Nothobranchius furzeri: one gene and its partner. The protein of the gene in region 1 interacts with the protein of each later gene in a pairwise test. Links are inferred from orthologs where the notes say so. Each region holds a gene or a part of one and is shown on either strand. Other genes may lie near its edges. The genes, in order: dzip1 and ppp2r5a.

Region 1 (8,499 bases):
GGGTGGAGTCGCTAACAAATACACACACTCACGACATTGTGACATCATGATGTACCATCTAACATCATAGTGTACCTCTTAGCCAATAGCGACGGCAGATTTAAATTCAAATGCAGTGCAGAGTTTTTACCCGACGACGGTGCATCGCTGACAGTTTTAATCCAATTCAAAAACACTTCATTAATCCCAAAGGGAAATTGATTGCTGTAGTAGCTCAGAATAATAATAATAATCAAGTCATCAAAGAGTTATTGTATATTACAATGGCTGTTGGCAGGAAGGATCTCCAGTAGCGGTCAGTGTTGCAGCCAAACTGAAGAAGCCTCTGACTGAAGACACTCTTCCGTTGTCGGACAGTCTTGTGAAGAGAATGCTCAGGGTTGTCCATCATTTTCTTGATTCTCTGGAGAATCCTTCTTTGCATTATCTCCTCCAGCGGTTCCGAAACTGCCGAAACTCTGGCTGAGTCCTTGAAAGGGCTTGGAGTTCCTCCATCTTGTTGTCCAGTGATCTCACATTGCCCAATATGATCGATGGAAGAGACGGTTTGAACCTCCTCTTTCTCTGTCTCCGTTTTGCTCCCGCTCTGCACCCACGCTTCTTGCGTTTTAGCTCATTTGGGATTTGTGGCTTCAGTTGAGGTATTATTTCAGCCTTCCCAACGTTAATCAGCTGCTCCCGATTGTAAAACAGCTTGTTGTCATGGTTATGCATCATAACAAATGCTCAAAAAGTGAAAAAAGCTAAAAAATAGCAGTAAAAATCTTAAACATTTGAGGCAGAATATTTAAATTTGAACTAAAATGAACTAAAATGCTGGATTATTGAATACATTTGTCTGCAGCACGATCAGACACTCATTTATGTAGTTTTATCAGCAAAAAAAATGTTGATTTGGAGTGACTTGCTCTTTAAGTGAAATGTGTTTTTTTTGTCCAGTCATGCAGATCCGCCCACGATCCAGCAGCCTTCCTTCCAGATCCAGCCAGGTGGCATCATCTGGAGCCACAGCTAAGCAGCCAAAGGTCCCTCAGCCGGTTCCCAGGACCAAACCCACCGTCCAGCCCAAGACATCAACGCCCAAGAATAAGACTGCCGTCAGGATCGTCTCAAGCAGGTATGGGAACGTAATGGTTGGTCCAAAATCAGGTCCTTCTAAAAGTAAATATCCACAAAGAATCATGTAGAAGTGGAATAACCATCTGGTTCCTGAAAAACTCCTTTTATATGAAAAGGTTAGAAAATCAACAGGTTAAAGGTCTGAACGTTTCTTCTCCAGGACCCCTCCGTTCAGTTCAGATGAGGAATCTGAAGAAGAGACCGACTCGGAGGAGGAGCCTCCTCAAAAGAGCAAGTTGCCGGCGTCCAGATTATTTCAGGCCACGCCAGTCCAGATTACAGCAAGTAAAACCGGTCCAGTCCAGTCCAAGAGCGCTGCAGCCTTCCAGTCCTCCTCCAAACAATCAGCGGGAGCTGCAATCCAGACAGCCGTCACAAAGATGGAGAGCGAGGAAGAGGACGATGACTGGTCAGACGTCAGCGAGCTGCAGGAGATCGACCCAAAACAGATGCAGGGTTTCAAAGACCTGAACGGAAATATGAACAAAAAAAGATCTGATAAAGGTTAGTAACCCGAAGACACGAGGGCCATCCTTTCCATGGGCTCACCACTTGTGGGAGGGGCCAAAGGGGTCAGATGCAACGTGACCTTGGCCGTCTGATCAGCTGGCTCTCGGTTCAGATAACGGTACCTGTCTGGTGGGATGGGAGCCTGAGCTGGTGTGTGAGGTTGGGACGTTCTGTGAATGTTACTAGAGTGTAGCTCACCTTGTAAGATGTCTGACTCCCATATGGAAGACCTGGGTTTGATTCTGGATGTGAACATAGTTCATTTAGAGTTTCTTTTTTACATTAATGTTGTATTTTTTTACAGTAAGATGCCCAAATTTTTATTTGAGACTCGCCGAACGGCATTGAATTCACAGATAAAAAAGATGTGGGTTCAACTTTCATTTTGGAACAATTTTTCAAGCAAGGGAAGGGAATGATCTGAGCATGCAGGAGGACTGACCCATCATAAACCTTTGTCGGCTGTGCTGAAGAGAAAGCTACAGAACCACATTTAATTAATTAGCTGTGTGTTCTCCTGTCCTCCGGGCCACACACACACACACACACACACACACACACACACACGGGACTGTCTCAGCTGTTATTTTCATTAAGGAGTGTGCACGTACAGCATGTGCGCCTCGTGCACGAGCCTCCTATTGAAGCTGCCGTTACGCTTTTGGCCTGAGGGGGCAATCGCGAGCATAAAAAGTCAAAAGTCCGTAAAGTCCCTTTAAAAACTTTAGTTTTGGCATCGTTTTATCTAAATACATTAGAGACTAATGTTTAGGTAGTATTTTTATAGTTTTTCCGCTGACTGCTTGAATTTTGCTGTTGGTTTAAAAAACAGGAATGTGACTCGAAATTATAAATTTTTTAAAGATTTTTTTTTTTTCAAATAAATTCATTATTTCATTTATCTGCTCATAAACCATCATTTTGTAAGGAAGCTAATGGAAACGAAACTTGTTAATTGTACGTATTCATTAAATCACCTCGGTATTCATGTGCACCTTCCCACAACAGCTCATGCAAATCTCGGCTGGTATGCTCTTTTCAGCACAACACCTGTTAAATTCAACAGCCACCACAGTTCATCATGGACGATCCATGATGAGCACAGAAGTCCAATAACAAAGCACCGCTCAGGTTCAGGTCACGGGGGTCGTTCACCCCAACCACACCCCTCCAGGTCTCACTGTCATTGCCCATACGCAAGGTCTCCCATCAGAACGAGGGAGTTCCCAGATGGAGCGCTCTCCAGCACCCACTCCTTGGGCTCCAAACAGGAAGGGGGGTAGTCGCACAGACAACAGTCGGGACCCGTCCTCCCACACGCAGGTGGAGGGAGGCTACGCTCTTCTTCACCGGGTTAAACCCCAACAAACAGCCAACAAGTATGCCCACCCCGGATCGGCGCCTCTCAGTGGGAGCAGTTTCAGAGCGGTGGAGAGTCCAACGCCTCTCAAGGAAACTGGTTCTAGAGCCAGAGCCATGCATTGAGGTGACACTCTATGTATTTTCTTTAAGGCACTCGAGGAGTACAGACGCTTCCCTCTTTCGCTCCCTTATCTTTTTTTCCCAAGGCTCTTTGTCCTGTCTGCCCACAGAGCGCTTCTCTGCATTTCTTCTGAAAAACCCTATTTTTACTAACCATGGATTTGATAAAATGGTCATTCAATGCGATCGATAAGATTTTTTCAACAATGAGAACGGAGCAGGGGGCTCCCACATGTCCACAGGGGACACACCCGGTGGGATATATTTTGGATTCCTGGAAGAAGTGGAAGATCATGTGCCTCTCCCAGCTGTCCATTGAGGATATCGAAGACGTGTGGATATTTGGTCTGATGATCACTGGATTTCTCCTGATTGGAGTGGGAGGATATCTGGTTTTCTGGAAATTTGGGAAGACGGGAGCGATTGGAGGGCGACCCGTACCCACGGAAAGCACCGTCTGAGTAGAGACTTCTCAGACTGGGACGTTACTCGAGGTGAATCGTAAGCTGGACAATGTTCTAGCTGCGATACCGGTATTAGTGCGCAAAATGGATGTCATCTCAGAGAGTCACCGGACGGTATGGACAGGTTTAAAAACCCAAAATTGGCTTCACTGAAGGACTGGAAATGATCAGCTTAAAGACTGAAGGCAGAGAGGAAAATTATCTCAGCCTGACCCAAACAAATTCTTATCTGAATCTGATGCCCTGGTAGCCTTGAGCTGCAAGCAACTAAAACCCCCACGAAGTAATGCAGACAGATGCTGTGAACCCCCCCCCCCCCCCCCCCCCCCCCCCCACACACACACACACACCTTCAGCCTGGCGAGGTCATCAACCTGCAGGAGTCAATGTGCTCTTCGCTTCTCCCAAGATCTCCCTCCCACCTGTGACTGTACAGTAGATGAGCGCCGTAGATGGCTGCTCTCGCTGGGGGGAACGGGATTCCTCCCCCCCCCCCTGTTTTTTTTGCAGAGCAAAGCTACCCTCTTGGTGGGAGGGTAACTCTGAAGTGCCTTTTTTTCCCTCCACCTGAACCAATCCTCATGTTACCCTCTTATCTCTATTAAGGTAGCGCGACTCGGGTTGCGAATGACCACAGTCACCAATTCTTGTCACGTGTCTTGCCCATGTATGTCTGATCTCTGAATTGTGTGTAATGAAACTCTTAATTTCCCTCTGGGATTAATAAAGTATTGACTGATTGATGTAACTGGAACCTCTCAACCACACACCAACTCAGGCTCCTCCCCCACCATAGAGGTGGCATTACACGTACCGAGAGCTAGCTTCTGTAGCCGAGGATCAGACCGCCACGGTTCCCACCTTCGGCCACCATCACACAATGCGCCCTACCCCTTTGGCCCCTCCCACGAGTCTTGAGACCATAGGAAGGGGGACCTATGTTTCCTCTTCTGGCTGTGTGTGACCAAGCTCCATGGCTACTGGGCACTCGTCAACATGCTGCACCTCCAGAGGGGAGCCCTGGTGACCCGCATCTGGGCTGGGGAACACGGTTTCTATCGAAATTGTTCATCATAAAGGGCCTTTAAAAATGTATAGATGATACTGTTTTTGTGATCATTTGGAGCCTAAACTGAAATTAGCCCTACTTCCTTTCTGTATCTAATCTGATATCTGTCAGTAGATTGACATCATGCCTCTTAGAGCCAGTTCTCCATGTATTATTGTTCATTTTTCTCTACAATTTCATCCCGTAGGTTAAGTCTGGCTCATACTTGAGAGATTTAGCTAAACCGATGTATTATCCCTTCTGGGGAGTCTCAGCTTATTGGTAGTCGGGCTTTAACTGATGAGGTCAAATCTCACTTAAAATAAGAAAAGTTCAGAAACGGCCCAACATCAAATCCCAAACCGGTTCTAAGTCTGACACAAACCCAGAGCACACCTCGCATGCTAATGTGACTTGTTCGTTTTCATGTCTTTTAGTTCAAATCAGTGACTTGGCTCGAAAAATGGAGCAGCAGTTTGCGGAGAGAGCGGTGAAGAAGCCAGCAGGGGGCGTTAGCGTCCTGCCTGGGAGGAGGGATGAGGTTCAGGAGCTACTGGTGAGAAGACTGGGTCTCTAACTGGGTTTAATGGTTCAGACTTGATAGACTCAACAGTTTCACTAAAAAATGTAATTGTGAACTTTCTGGCAAACATTGCGATATCAATTTGATTCACCTTTTTTTAAGTAAAACAGTTAATAAAAGTGATCCTGAGTCAGTCAGGAGAGTGAAATCACAGCTTCCATCAGGAAAGGATGAATCTTTCAGTCCAACGTGTTGTTAACAGATTACAGATGTGGAGGACAGACAGGAAGTGACTAAACCAACTCTCCGTGGTTCTGGACCCTTGAGGAAGAGCCTGGACTCACCTAGCACCAGCGTGTGGGGAACCTCCACAGGAAAGGGACCCAGCTCAGGTAAGAAGCACTTCCTGTCTCACACAGCTACACCCTTAGAACAAACCTAAACTAGGTGTGTTTCCTGCAGGTGTGACCGAAGCTGGAACAGGAAGCACCCTGAAGAGCAGCCTTTGTTCCCTCAGTGACATCAGCGACTCAGAGTACTAACGCAATAACACACCTGATGTGATGATGTAGCACAAACACAGAGACCTCAGCTTCTAACTCCTGAACCAGACCAGCGATACACCCCACAGGGTCCAGAGCCGCACCTGTCTCTATCAACGTCACACTTTGTTGTCAGCTTTATTTTTTGCCTTGTGCCAACTCTTTGCTTGTCATAGATTCAGTGTTTCATGTGCATTGTTCTGTTATTAGGGATCTCTGTTTTTCTACTTGTGTCAAATTTTGTACATTTTTATTGCTTCAACTCAAAGAAAATATTTATTCAAGCAATAAAAAAGATCTTTGTTGAATTTTGATTTCAGGGTTCTGACTTATTTTTGTAGATAAAATCAGGGCATTATTATGATATAGTAATATTACATGAGTGGTTATTTTGGTCTTGATCATGCCGACAATAATATCGTTTATCGTCAATGATTTGTTGGACAATATATCGTCCAAAAATATTTGTTATCGTTTCAGGCCTAGTAAAATGTTTTAATCAGGAGAGGGAGAATGTTTAAGTGGTTAGCAGCAGTTTGCTAGCTGATGGCCCCCTCCATGAAGCCACCACAGCTCAGCAGAACACCACTGCAGCTTCTTCTGGGGAGAAAAACTTAGTTAACAGCTAATGATGCAATTAGAGAGTAGTGGTAGAAGGTAGTAGAGCGTGGAAAGTCAGTGTGTCCTCCAGCCATCTAAGCCTATAGCAGCATAATGACAGAGATAACTCTGGATAACCTAGCCTTTTTAGATGGAGGCATGTTGGAGGCAGGGCAAGGGAGCCGTCTTTACCGACTGTACTCTCCACCTCCCTCTACTCCCCCACTTGTCCAGATCTAGGCTAACATCAGATTTTAACCATAGGCCCTATCAAATGAAAATGTTTTAAGCCTGGTCTTAAAAGTAGACAAAGTGACTGCCTCACGGACTAAAGCTGGGAGCTGGTTCCACAGGAGAGGAGCCTGATAACTAAAAGATCTGCCTCCCATCCTAATTTTAGATATTCTGGGAACCACCAGTAGACCTGCAGTCTGAGAGCGAAGTGCTCGGTTAGGAACGTATGGAACAATCAGGTCACTGATGTATGATGGAGCTTGATTATTAAGAGCTTTGTATGTGAGAAGAAGGATCTTAAAATCTATTCTGAATTTAACAGGTAGCCAATGTAGGGAAGCTACGACAGGAGAGAAATCAATTTCCCTCTGGGATTAATAAAGTATTTTTGAATTGAATTGAATATGATCTCTCTTTTCAGTTCTCATCAGAACTCTAGCTGCAGCATTTTGGACAAGCTGAAGACTTTTAACTACATTCTGTGGACTTCCTGAGAGTAATGATTTACAGTAATCCAGTCTTGATGTAATAAATGCATGAACTAGTTTTTCAGCATCACTCCTGGAAAGGATGCTTCTAATCTTAGCAATATTCCGGAGGTGAAAGAAGGAAATCCTAAAAACCTGTTTAACGTGGGATTTGAATGACAGCTAGCACTAGCCGCTGCCTGTGAGAGGGTGTGTGTGTGTGCAAACACACAAGTGTGAGAGAGAGAGTGTTCTTGTACTTACTACACACGGAGGACCATTTTTTATTGTCAGGGTTTTTAAATTCTGGGGATGGGAGGGAATGTGGGTATGCGGGGCCTTTTTAATTTGTTAAGCTCTTTGAGTTGCATTCATCGTATGATTAAGTGCTTTTAAATAAAGTTTGATTTGATTTTGATCCTCACTTTTTTTTAAACTTACCAGTTGATTTTAGAGGTATGGTGTGAATTAAGTTTTAGTTAAGGTTAGGGTTAGTAGAACAGCACTGGTTAGGGTTACTAAGACAGAAAGACAGACGAGTGTCTGTGTGTGTGTGTGTGTGTGTGTGTGTGTGTGTGTGTGTGTGTGTGTGTGTGAGAGAGAGTTTCAGAGGTCATAAACGTTGATTGAACACAAAAGTAAAACAGCTTTTTACTGAAAACCCAAACATTTGCCGTTACATCATTGAAACCTGGATCTGCAGCCTGAAACAGAAAAAGGCAACTTTGGACACAAACACACTAAAAACTGATGCAGAACTAAAACAGCTGAACATCCTGGAGCCATTAAAAACCCGTTTCTTCAGAACCATAGCTGATAAATAAGTAATGCTCCACCTGAACAGGTGTGGCAGCAGAGTTCCCAAAGCTCTCTCAGCTTAACAGAATCAAGCAGCGGCTTTGTGTGCAAACGTTTGAGCGGTCGGAACACCGCTGGGCCCGTTGTCAGGCCCGGTCCTCCCTCCGAGGTGGATATGTGATCTCACCGGAAACCGGACCTGAACCCAACCAGCTCACGCTCTCCGGAGTCTCCTAACAGAGTCACGACTTAGTCTCTGAGCTCATAGAGCCGTTTCAAAGATAACCAAGTTCCCGTCCGACGTTTCTTTGGGTCCGTTTGGAATGCTGGGATGACTTCTGCTCTCGTACGCCTGAAGCAGAAAATAAACAAACAAGTCAATCAGACAAAAGTTGGTTTAACAGAATCAGACGGAGCTTCGTCTAGAGTACGACTCACCTGTTTAGCTGCTTCTAGCAGCGCCGCTGCCTCCTGTTTGCCCGTCTGCTGAACCATTTTATACAAGATGCTGCTGGCGTCCTGCAGCAGGACGTACGGCTCGGCGTAGGCGTGGATCTGCCCCGCATCCAGAACCTGCAACAGAACCAGGCACGGTCACGGTAGAGCAGCAGAGACTGGTTCTAGCATCAGAACCGATCTGTAGTCTGGTTCTGTTGGGGTTTCATCTGACCCTAACCCCCCTGAGCCCAGTGTCAGACCAGTCACATCTGCA
Region 2 (8,666 bases), on another chromosome or scaffold:
GGGACGTCCTGAAGACCATCCTGCATCGGATTTATGGGAAGTTCCTGGGCCTGCGAGCCTTCATCAGGAAGCAGATCAACAACATCTTCTTGAGGTGAGTTTGTCCGTCGTGCATTCATTTTTACTTCTTCTTTAAAAGGTGTGGGTGTTTCAGGCGGTGTCTGATCGGCTCAGATTCATAAAAGTCACTATTACTGCAAACATTGTAAATGGTCTGGAACAAAAACTCATTTTCTTTATGGTATTAATCATCAGACCCAGGCAGTTTGTACTCTAATGGGTCAAACATCAGAAAACGGCAGCAACGCGTCTGGAGCCAGTAATACCTCACATCATCTGCTGTTTAATCTGTTTATTTAATTGCTTTTTGGCTTCTTGCTGCAGAAATGCTTTTCTCTAAACTCCACAACTCTTCCTACTTAAAAAAAAATTTTCTTACAACTATAGAAGTTATAGAAGAAGTGCTTTTATTTATTTATTTATTTATTTATTTATTTTTAAATGAGATTAGTCGGAACCATCGCCTGTTTGGTGTGAAGTTATAGAGCTTCTCATTCACTTGACCCCATTCCCCAGGTTTGTGTTATGAAAATGATTTTGTGAACAGATCCATCCTTTTTTCATATAAAGAAGATATTTTCAGGATTATACACGAAAAGGAAATGAAATTCTAAATCTGATTGAAACGATTAAAATAAACACACATTAACAGGAGCTGTTAGAATAATGTAAGGAGATTATTCTTAGCTCTGCGATGGACTGGCTCTCTGTCCAGGGTGTACCCCGCCTGATTGCCCGTTGACCGCTGGAGATAGGCACCAGCCCCCCCCCCCCGACCCAATGGATGGATGGCTTATTCTTAGCTTTTACAGCCTTTAATCTTTTATTTATTTTTTACTTTTTCAGGTTCATATATGAAACCGAACACTTTAACGGTGTTTCTGAACTGCTGGAGATTCTGGGAAGGTGCGTATTGGACTATGAAGTGTCATTTGTAGTCAGTGTCCTAATTTAACAGCAGTATTTCTGGTTATTTAGCCCATCAGGAGAGGAAAAAATGGGAGCTAATCTCTCAAAGTCAAATTTCATATTATTTATACATTTTTAAATGTTAAAGTTCCAAGCAAAATATTTAGTTTATAAACTAAATGATTATTTTACTAAATAGATATTTAATTTGGAGCTAAATATTTAGTTTACAAACTCCAAACTGAATATTTATTTTCCAAAATAAATACTTAGATCCCAGCTAAATATTAAGATCTGGCCCTAAAATAGATATTTTTGCTGGAATCTAAATATTTATTTAGCAAAATTAATATTCAGACTGGAGTTAAATATTTAGTTAGTAAACTAAATATTAATTTTACAAACTAAATATTTAGTTCTGACCTACATATTTAGTTTGTAAAATAAATATTTAATTCTAAATTAACTATTTAGCTTGCTAACTAAATATTTAGTTCGGATCTTTAATATTTATAAATGTGTGAATAATATGGTAAAATTGTACTTAGAAAAATTATATCCCATTATTTTCTCCTATGACAGTCTAAGGCCTAGTCCACATGTAGCCGGGTTTTTTTCAAAAAACGAATATCCGCCCCTCCAAAAACTTGCATCCACACCACCTCGTTTAAAAAAAAAAACTGTCCACAAGTACCCAGATAAATATGTTGTTAAGGACATGCCAGACCTGTAGGCGGCAGTACTTCCCCCATTCTTAACCTCGTCCTTCGTCTGTGGTCTTCCACAAGGAGCAGTAATTCCGCTTGCAAAAACAAACGAGCACAAAGCGCTTGGACAATTGATAAAGGAGCGCAGCTCTGAGGGCTTCCATGATGCCGGCTAGTGTAAACACAGGTCGCACACGTGATGTCAGCATTTTTTGTCGCGGAAAGTGACGATGCGGACCTTAAAACTCTGGTTTTGTCTGTCCACACGCAGACACCCAAAACGGAGAAAACGCAGATCTTCACTTTGGCCGGAGTTTTTAAAAAGATCCGTTTTCGTGTGAAAAAACTCCGTTTTCATGTGGATGACAGGCCAAAACGTAGAAAAATATCTACGTTTTGGCAGATCCCTGGCTACGTGTGGGCAGGGCCTAAATAACAGTATATTGCTGTTAAGTTCTGACTTTACAAATGGCACCTCACATTGGACTAACAACAAAAGTTATTTATGAAATATAGAAAAAAAAACATTTTCAGGTTACAGCTTCAGCAGAGTGAAGATATGAGGCTAAATGATTCATTCAATTAATGTTTTGAGCATCTTTTCAGTAATTAAATCTCCGCTTTACTGAAATTAGAAAATAAAAATGTCTGCTGTGGTTTGTTTGAATCATGTGTGTAATCTAGCAATCCCTCTTTGTTTATTTTCAGCATTATTAACGGGTTTGCCTTGCCTCTGAAGGCAGAACACAAGCAGTTCCTGATGAAGGTGCTCATCCCGTTACACACAGCTAAAGGACTGGTTCTTTTCCATGCACAGGTAGAAGAAAGTCAACTTCACAGCTGTTGTAATAAATGTTGGTATTATGGTGTCCCCTAGTGGATTAGACGTGTAATTGCATGTTATTATTCACTTCCTTCAGCTGGCTTACTGTGTGGTTCAGTTCTTGGAGAAAGATCCCACGCTTACAGCGCCGGTACTTTTTATATTCTTCCTTCCACTCAAATTACTGAGGAGAAACATCTGCTCTAGTTAGAAGCCATCAAACACAGAAGATAAATCCGGTTTTCTCTGCAGGTGATCCAGGGCCTGTTAAAGTTCTGGCCCAAAACCTGCAGCCAGAAAGAGGTACTCTACCTGTCTGTTTGTAAGCTGTTTGTTTCTGGCAGCATAAGTAACGACCGCTCCCACTCAGGTGATGTTCCTGGGGGAAATCGAAGAGATCCTGGATGTCATCGAGCCATCGCAGTTCAGAAAAATCCAGGAGCCGTTGTTCAAGCAGATCTCCAAGTGTGTGGCCAATCCACACTTTCAGGTGTGCTGAGATCTTAGTTTTTGCATATTTTTGAATATTTTAATTCATTTTATTATTTAATCACATCAAAATAAACTGCATTGTCTCAACCAAAAATCGCTTTTCAGCTGGAATGTATGTAATTTAGCAACATATCTAATTATAAATCATAAATAGTTCAGATTTCCAAAGTTAATCTGTGAGGAAAAACCTACGAACATCTAATATTTAGCCTGTCGTAGGGGCCTCTTTGAACGGCCTCAGTATGGAGAAGCAGAGATTGGTCAAACAAGCGAACTGACTGCAAATAACTGTAGAATAATGGGCTCGACACACGGGAGGCCACATCGCCTCTCCTCCATTCATTTTCAATGAGACATGCGCGACAAAGCAATAATCGCGGGTCTCCCTTCTGCTAAGCGAAACGCGAAAAACTTGCATGTTAACTTTTGCGCTCATGCACGTGTCGTGCACAGGCGACGCAGCAACACGATCCCAGAAAGTTGAAATATTTTCAACTTTTCATCGCTGTCACTCGGACGAGGACCAATCAACAGAGGTTTCATTCACTGACCAATGAGCGGACAGGATGCTCCGTACACCTCCGAGCAATCAGGAAGGAGAAGTTGATGCTTGCTGTGACGGATTTCCCAGAACTGTACAATATTTCTACTAAAAAATATAGAGATATTCACACAAAGGCTGCAGCGTGGGAAATTGTTGGTGCCAGAATTAAATGATGGTATTCTCCGTTTCTTTCTCTGGTTTGTAATATGGGATGAACCCATTCTCATGTTATTTTTTTATATAGTAAAATCAGAAGTAAGATAGATGTCACATACCTCTAGCAGCACCTTGTGAAACATCATATCTACCGCTTTTTTAACTCTGAACTGCTTAAATAACCTTAATTCCCTCCAACCTGACACAGCCAATCAAAACAACGGAAGATTCGAATTAGCCATGGAACAGAACGCGTCGACAACTTTGCCGCTGCCGCAGGTTGCCTCCCGTGTGTCAGGTAATAAAAGCGACGGATTTCGCTGATCGCGGTCGTTTGTCTTCTCCTGTGTGTCAAGCCCATGAAGGTTTGTAAATGGTATGTGCACAAACTTATGTTGGGATTTTGAGCTTGAAGTTGTTTTAAGGCTTATTTTGGTGGATTATATGTGATTCAGGAAGAAAAACTGCCAGCTAAACTAAGTGAATTAGCAGTTGTTGGTTCCTGAACAAGGAAAAATGGTGGATATTTCATCGCTGCATGGTAGCAGTGGACCAGAAAAGGGTTTTGATTTTTGACTTTCAGGTTACCCGATACCCTATTAAGCTGATTGTCTTGAATATTAGCCGATTCTGACAACCAGCCAGTTTAATTTTATGCGTCTCTTAATAGAAATTCACTAGTTGTCTGTGACTAGCCATTAGCTTATCAATCTGGTAAGAACTGATCTCCGGTTCTCCAAATTGAGCTTGTTGAAAAAGCTTCAGCGTGTATCTCATTAAATCTTCGTGATATTAAACTTTTTTGTGTCTGCATCTTCATTTGTTTTCTGCTCCATCCTCACAGGTATCAGAGCGTGCTCTGTACTTCTGGAATAACGAGTACATCGTCAGTCTCATTGAGGAACACATCGAGAACGTTCTTCCCATCATGTTTGACTGCCTGTTCACGATCTCTAAGGAGCACTGGAACCCGTAGGTTCTGTGACCGTTAATCCAGACCGGATCAGATCATGAAATACTGTATTTTCTGGAGTATAAGTCGCACCAGCCATAAAATGTATAATGAAGAAGAAAAAAACATATAAGTCACACTGGACTATAAGTCGCATTTTGGGGGGAAATTTTATAATTTTTCTTAGAAAATCTGAGACCAAGCATTTCACATTGCAAGACAAGTGCCGGTAACAATAACAGAATAAACAGTCAGGGCGCAGCAGCGCGCCACGGTCTCCAGCAGAGGATGGCGGTGTTTAAACCCTCCCAGCGGGGCAGAGGAGCTGAAACCTGGACTGGAGCCGGCCCGCAGCAGCGCGGTATACGCAATTTGGTATATAATTCACTTTGGTATACAAGTCGCAGGACCAGCCAGATTATGAAAAAAAGTGCGACTTATAGTCTGGAAAATATGGTAATTAAGTTTTCTGCAAAGTTCTGGAACTTGTCCCTAAAGTAAGTGTGTGTGTGTGTGTGTGTGTGTGTGTGTGTGTGTGTGTGTGTGTGTGTGTGTGTGTGTTTCAGGACCATCGTAGCTCTGATCTACAATGTCATGAAGGCCATGATGGAGATGAACTTGAACCTGTTCGACGAGCTGGCGACCTCGTATAAAGAAGACAAAATGCGGTGAGTTTTTAATCGAGGGAACATTTACCAAAACCACCTCAAATTCATTTTACAACAGACGCTTTAAAAGCTGTTGGAAAAACAAACATTTACAACCTTAGATGGAATCATTCCCATTTTTAAAGCGCTCTAATCAATTTTCCTTTTTTTTTTTTTTTTTTTGGACCAGTGCTTGGTGCTAAAGAACAAAACTTGGAATTTATTAAGTAGGAAATATCAGTTTATATAGAGTAAATATTGAAAACCATTCCACCAGCTAGGAAAGATGCCAGAACTCTTTCTACAGGGTCTCGGTGGGGTCTTAAAACGTCTTAAAGGCTTTGAAGTTAGGAATGTGGCAATAATATCTTTATAAGGTCTGTACAAAGTCTTGAATTTTGACAACTGGGTCTTTAAATTTGTGCTGTATGTAAATTCATTGAACTGTATTTGTCCTCTAAAGTTTCATTTGTCAACCACAATAATTCCTAAATAACGTAGCCTAAATAAAGAGCGGTGGAACCAATAATTGAGAACGCAGCGCAGCCTTGGGTCAAAACACTTCGAACACGTGACGTGTTCAGCTCCCGCGCTACAGCAGTGGTACAAAACGGTAAACGACACAGACCATACAGACCTCCAGCAGAAGAGAAACGTGGAAAATCTCAGCAGACCATGAGAAAGGTTGACTGACGCCTAGGGCTGGGTGCCAGAACTCTGGACCTCTTTGGGACTGAGTGGAAACATTCAGTAAGTGCCGAAATCAGAAAAAAGTATTAAAATGTCCCAACGTGCCACCGCGGGTCATATGGCTGATCCCGAGTCACGTTATGAGTGGAGGAGATGCGTCTCCTTTCAACAGCACTTCTCTGCAATTGGCGGATGCAAATCCTAAGAAACTCAAATGTTTGGGTTAGTGATGCACCGATAGATTACGATATCCGATATTATCATCACTGTTATGGCCGATAACCGATATTTGCTGATACCGATATGTACATTAATGCTTCTAAAATCAGCAGTTTGTGTATTGAATGAAAATTATTAAAGCTGAATTTACATTATTTTGTACCGTATTTTCCGGGCTATAAGTCGCACTTTCATAGTCTGGCCTGTCCTGCAATTTATACTCCGGAGCGACTTGTATACCAAATTATGAAGGCTATACCGCGCTGCTGCGGGCCGGCTCCGGACCAGGAATGAGCTCCCCTGCCCCACTGGGAATAAACAACACACAGCCATCACCTGCTGCAGCCTGTGGCGGGGAGCTGCGGACCGGCTCCGGCCCAAGAATGAGCTCCCCTGTCCTGCTGGGAGGGTTTGAAACACCGGCGTCCTTTGCTGGAGACCGTGGCGCGCTGCTGCGCCCTGGTTGTTTATTCTGTTATTGTTACTGGTACTTGTCTTGCAATGTGAAACACTTGGTCTCAGATTTTGTAAGAAAAATAATCAAATTCCCCCCCAAAATGTGACTTATATATGTATTCTTCTTCTTCTTCATTATACATTTTATGGCTGGTGTGACTTATACTCCGGAAAATACGGTACACACACCACACTCATTTACGCTTCTGAGATGATTACAATCACTGTCACCTTACTAAACAAATGCACATCACCCCCTTACCCTCTGAAACAGATAAGCAAATGTAAACAAGATGGGGGAAAAAAAATCTGTTGTTAAAATCGGTCCAGTTTTATCTATCAGGCTGATACCAATATATTAAAAAATGACTAAAATCAGCCAATACCGATATTGATGCCAATATATCGTGCATCCCTAGTTTGGGTGCATTTTTCCCAAAGTGAACGGCAGCTAAACGCAACAACAGCGAGAAGATTTGTACCACCAAAGCGCATTGTCGTGCAGGGCATCATCTTGAGATGAAACATAGAACGTCTTTGACTGCAAAAATCGTAAACTTGATTCCATCACCTTCCAAACCACTGGAGGAGTCTGAGGATGGAGGCTGATTAAAGCAGAAATGGGACATAAAACCAACTTAGCTGCTGTTTACCAGTGTTATAAATGCAGTTCAGCAGGGTTGTGATTACTGCTGTTACTGACATGAAGTGAAGCATGAAGGCTATTTTAGAAAAGAAAGAAAGGACAACGATCTTTTCTATAGCGCCTTTCAAGATAAAAATCATGAGCTGCGTCTCAAAAACCACAAAATTTAACATATAAAAAAGATTTTAGAAAATTATTAAAAATCTGTTAAAAATAAGCAAAAATAGACTCTTGTGATTAAAAAAATGCAAAGAAGGAGAGATCCTCGGGAAGGCGGAATAGGTGGAGAGGGCAGAATAAGGAGAGGCCGGTGATGAAGGTCACGCAAAAGCTTGAACAGGTGAGTCTTCAGCTGCTTTTTAAAGGAGACCACTGAGTCCACTGATCTCAGGCTCAAGGGGAGAGAGTTCCAGAGTCTGGGGGCCACAGCAGCAGATGATCTGTCACCTTTTGTCTTTAGCCTGGTGCTGCACAACCAGTAGGCTTTGATCACTGGACCTCAGGGACCTGCTGGGGGTGTAGGGACTAAGAAGATCACCAATGTATGATGGTGCTTGTCCGAGCACAGGCATTCTGAACCACCTGTAGACGGTTCAGGGAGGTTCTGCTCAGACACGTGAAAAGAGAGTTACAGTAGTCTAAGCGTGAGGAGATGAAGGTGTGGAGAACGGTCTCAAATTCAGAGCGGGACAGAATGGGACTCAGCTTAGCAACGTTCCTGAGATGGAAGAAGGAACACCTGCAATTGTCAATAATTTAACAGATTCTTCTGTTTTCTTCACGACCATCTAGGGAGCAGCAGAAGGCGCAGGAGAGGGATGAGCTATGGCGGAAGCTGGAGGAGCTGAGGCTCAGCCATGCCGCCTCAGTCCAGATCAATAGCCACGGGATTCCCAGTTTCCAAAACAGTAATAACAACAACAATAACAACAACAGCCACCTGGACAGCAGTGGTGATGATGATGCTGTTACTCACAAGGGCGAAAAAACGTGTGATGATTCCGAGGTAATTGTAGGGGTCCTGTGTACCAAAGAAGATCTCCTCCAGGACATTAGAAATGACAGTGTCCTTGAGAATATTGAATGTATGTCATGTGAAAATATCGTGGTGGGGGAGGTGTCCGACATCATTTTGGACGCTTGCGTAATGGATGGGGATGGGGATGATGCGGTCACTCACAAGGGCGACAAAATGTGTGACGACTCCGAAGTAAATATAGGGGTCCTACGTACTGAAGATGTCGACCATTATGATGATGATTTATATGGAAGCACAAATACGGCAAGTCAAAATGTCAATGATGAAAATTAAATGGTCGGATGTTTGGTGTGTGACAATGTCGCTGAGGAGGTGTGTTTAATAGA

The links.
Region 2: the proteins of dzip1 (region 1) and ppp2r5a interact in binary tests that used the Homo sapiens proteins (3 or more experiments, as listed by UniProt). The link is inferred for Nothobranchius furzeri from reciprocal best matches to the Homo sapiens genes DZIP1 and PPP2R5A.

The regions. Positions count from the first base shown.
Region 1 is NC_091754.1:57,282,464-57,290,962, reverse strand, and holds the end of dzip1 (cilium assembly protein DZIP1), read left to right. Parts: intron 1-939; coding exon 940-1,117; intron 1,118-1,279; coding exon 1,280-1,623; intron 1,624-5,060; coding exon 5,061-5,179; intron 5,180-5,408; coding exon 5,409-5,538; intron 5,539-5,608; coding exon 5,609-5,688; 3' UTR 5,689-6,002; downstream 6,003-8,499. Other genes in the region: abcc4 (ATP-binding cassette sub-family C member 4), read right to left, coding at 8,050-8,139, 8,226-8,360. UniProt on the Homo sapiens protein: Molecular adapter that recruits protein complexes required for cilium assembly and function to the cilium basal body.
Region 2 is NC_091742.1:7,932,374-7,941,039, forward strand, and holds part of ppp2r5a (serine/threonine-protein phosphatase 2A 56 kDa regulatory subunit alpha isoform), read left to right. Parts: coding exon 1-94; intron 95-906; coding exon 907-966; intron 967-2,384; coding exon 2,385-2,493; intron 2,494-2,596; coding exon 2,597-2,650; intron 2,651-2,751; coding exon 2,752-2,802; intron 2,803-2,869; coding exon 2,870-2,989; intron 2,990-4,535; coding exon 4,536-4,663; intron 4,664-5,209; coding exon 5,210-5,311; intron 5,312-8,093; coding exon 8,094-8,613; 3' UTR 8,614-8,666. UniProt on the Homo sapiens protein: The B regulatory subunit might modulate substrate selectivity and catalytic activity, and might also direct the localization of the catalytic enzyme to a particular subcellular compartment.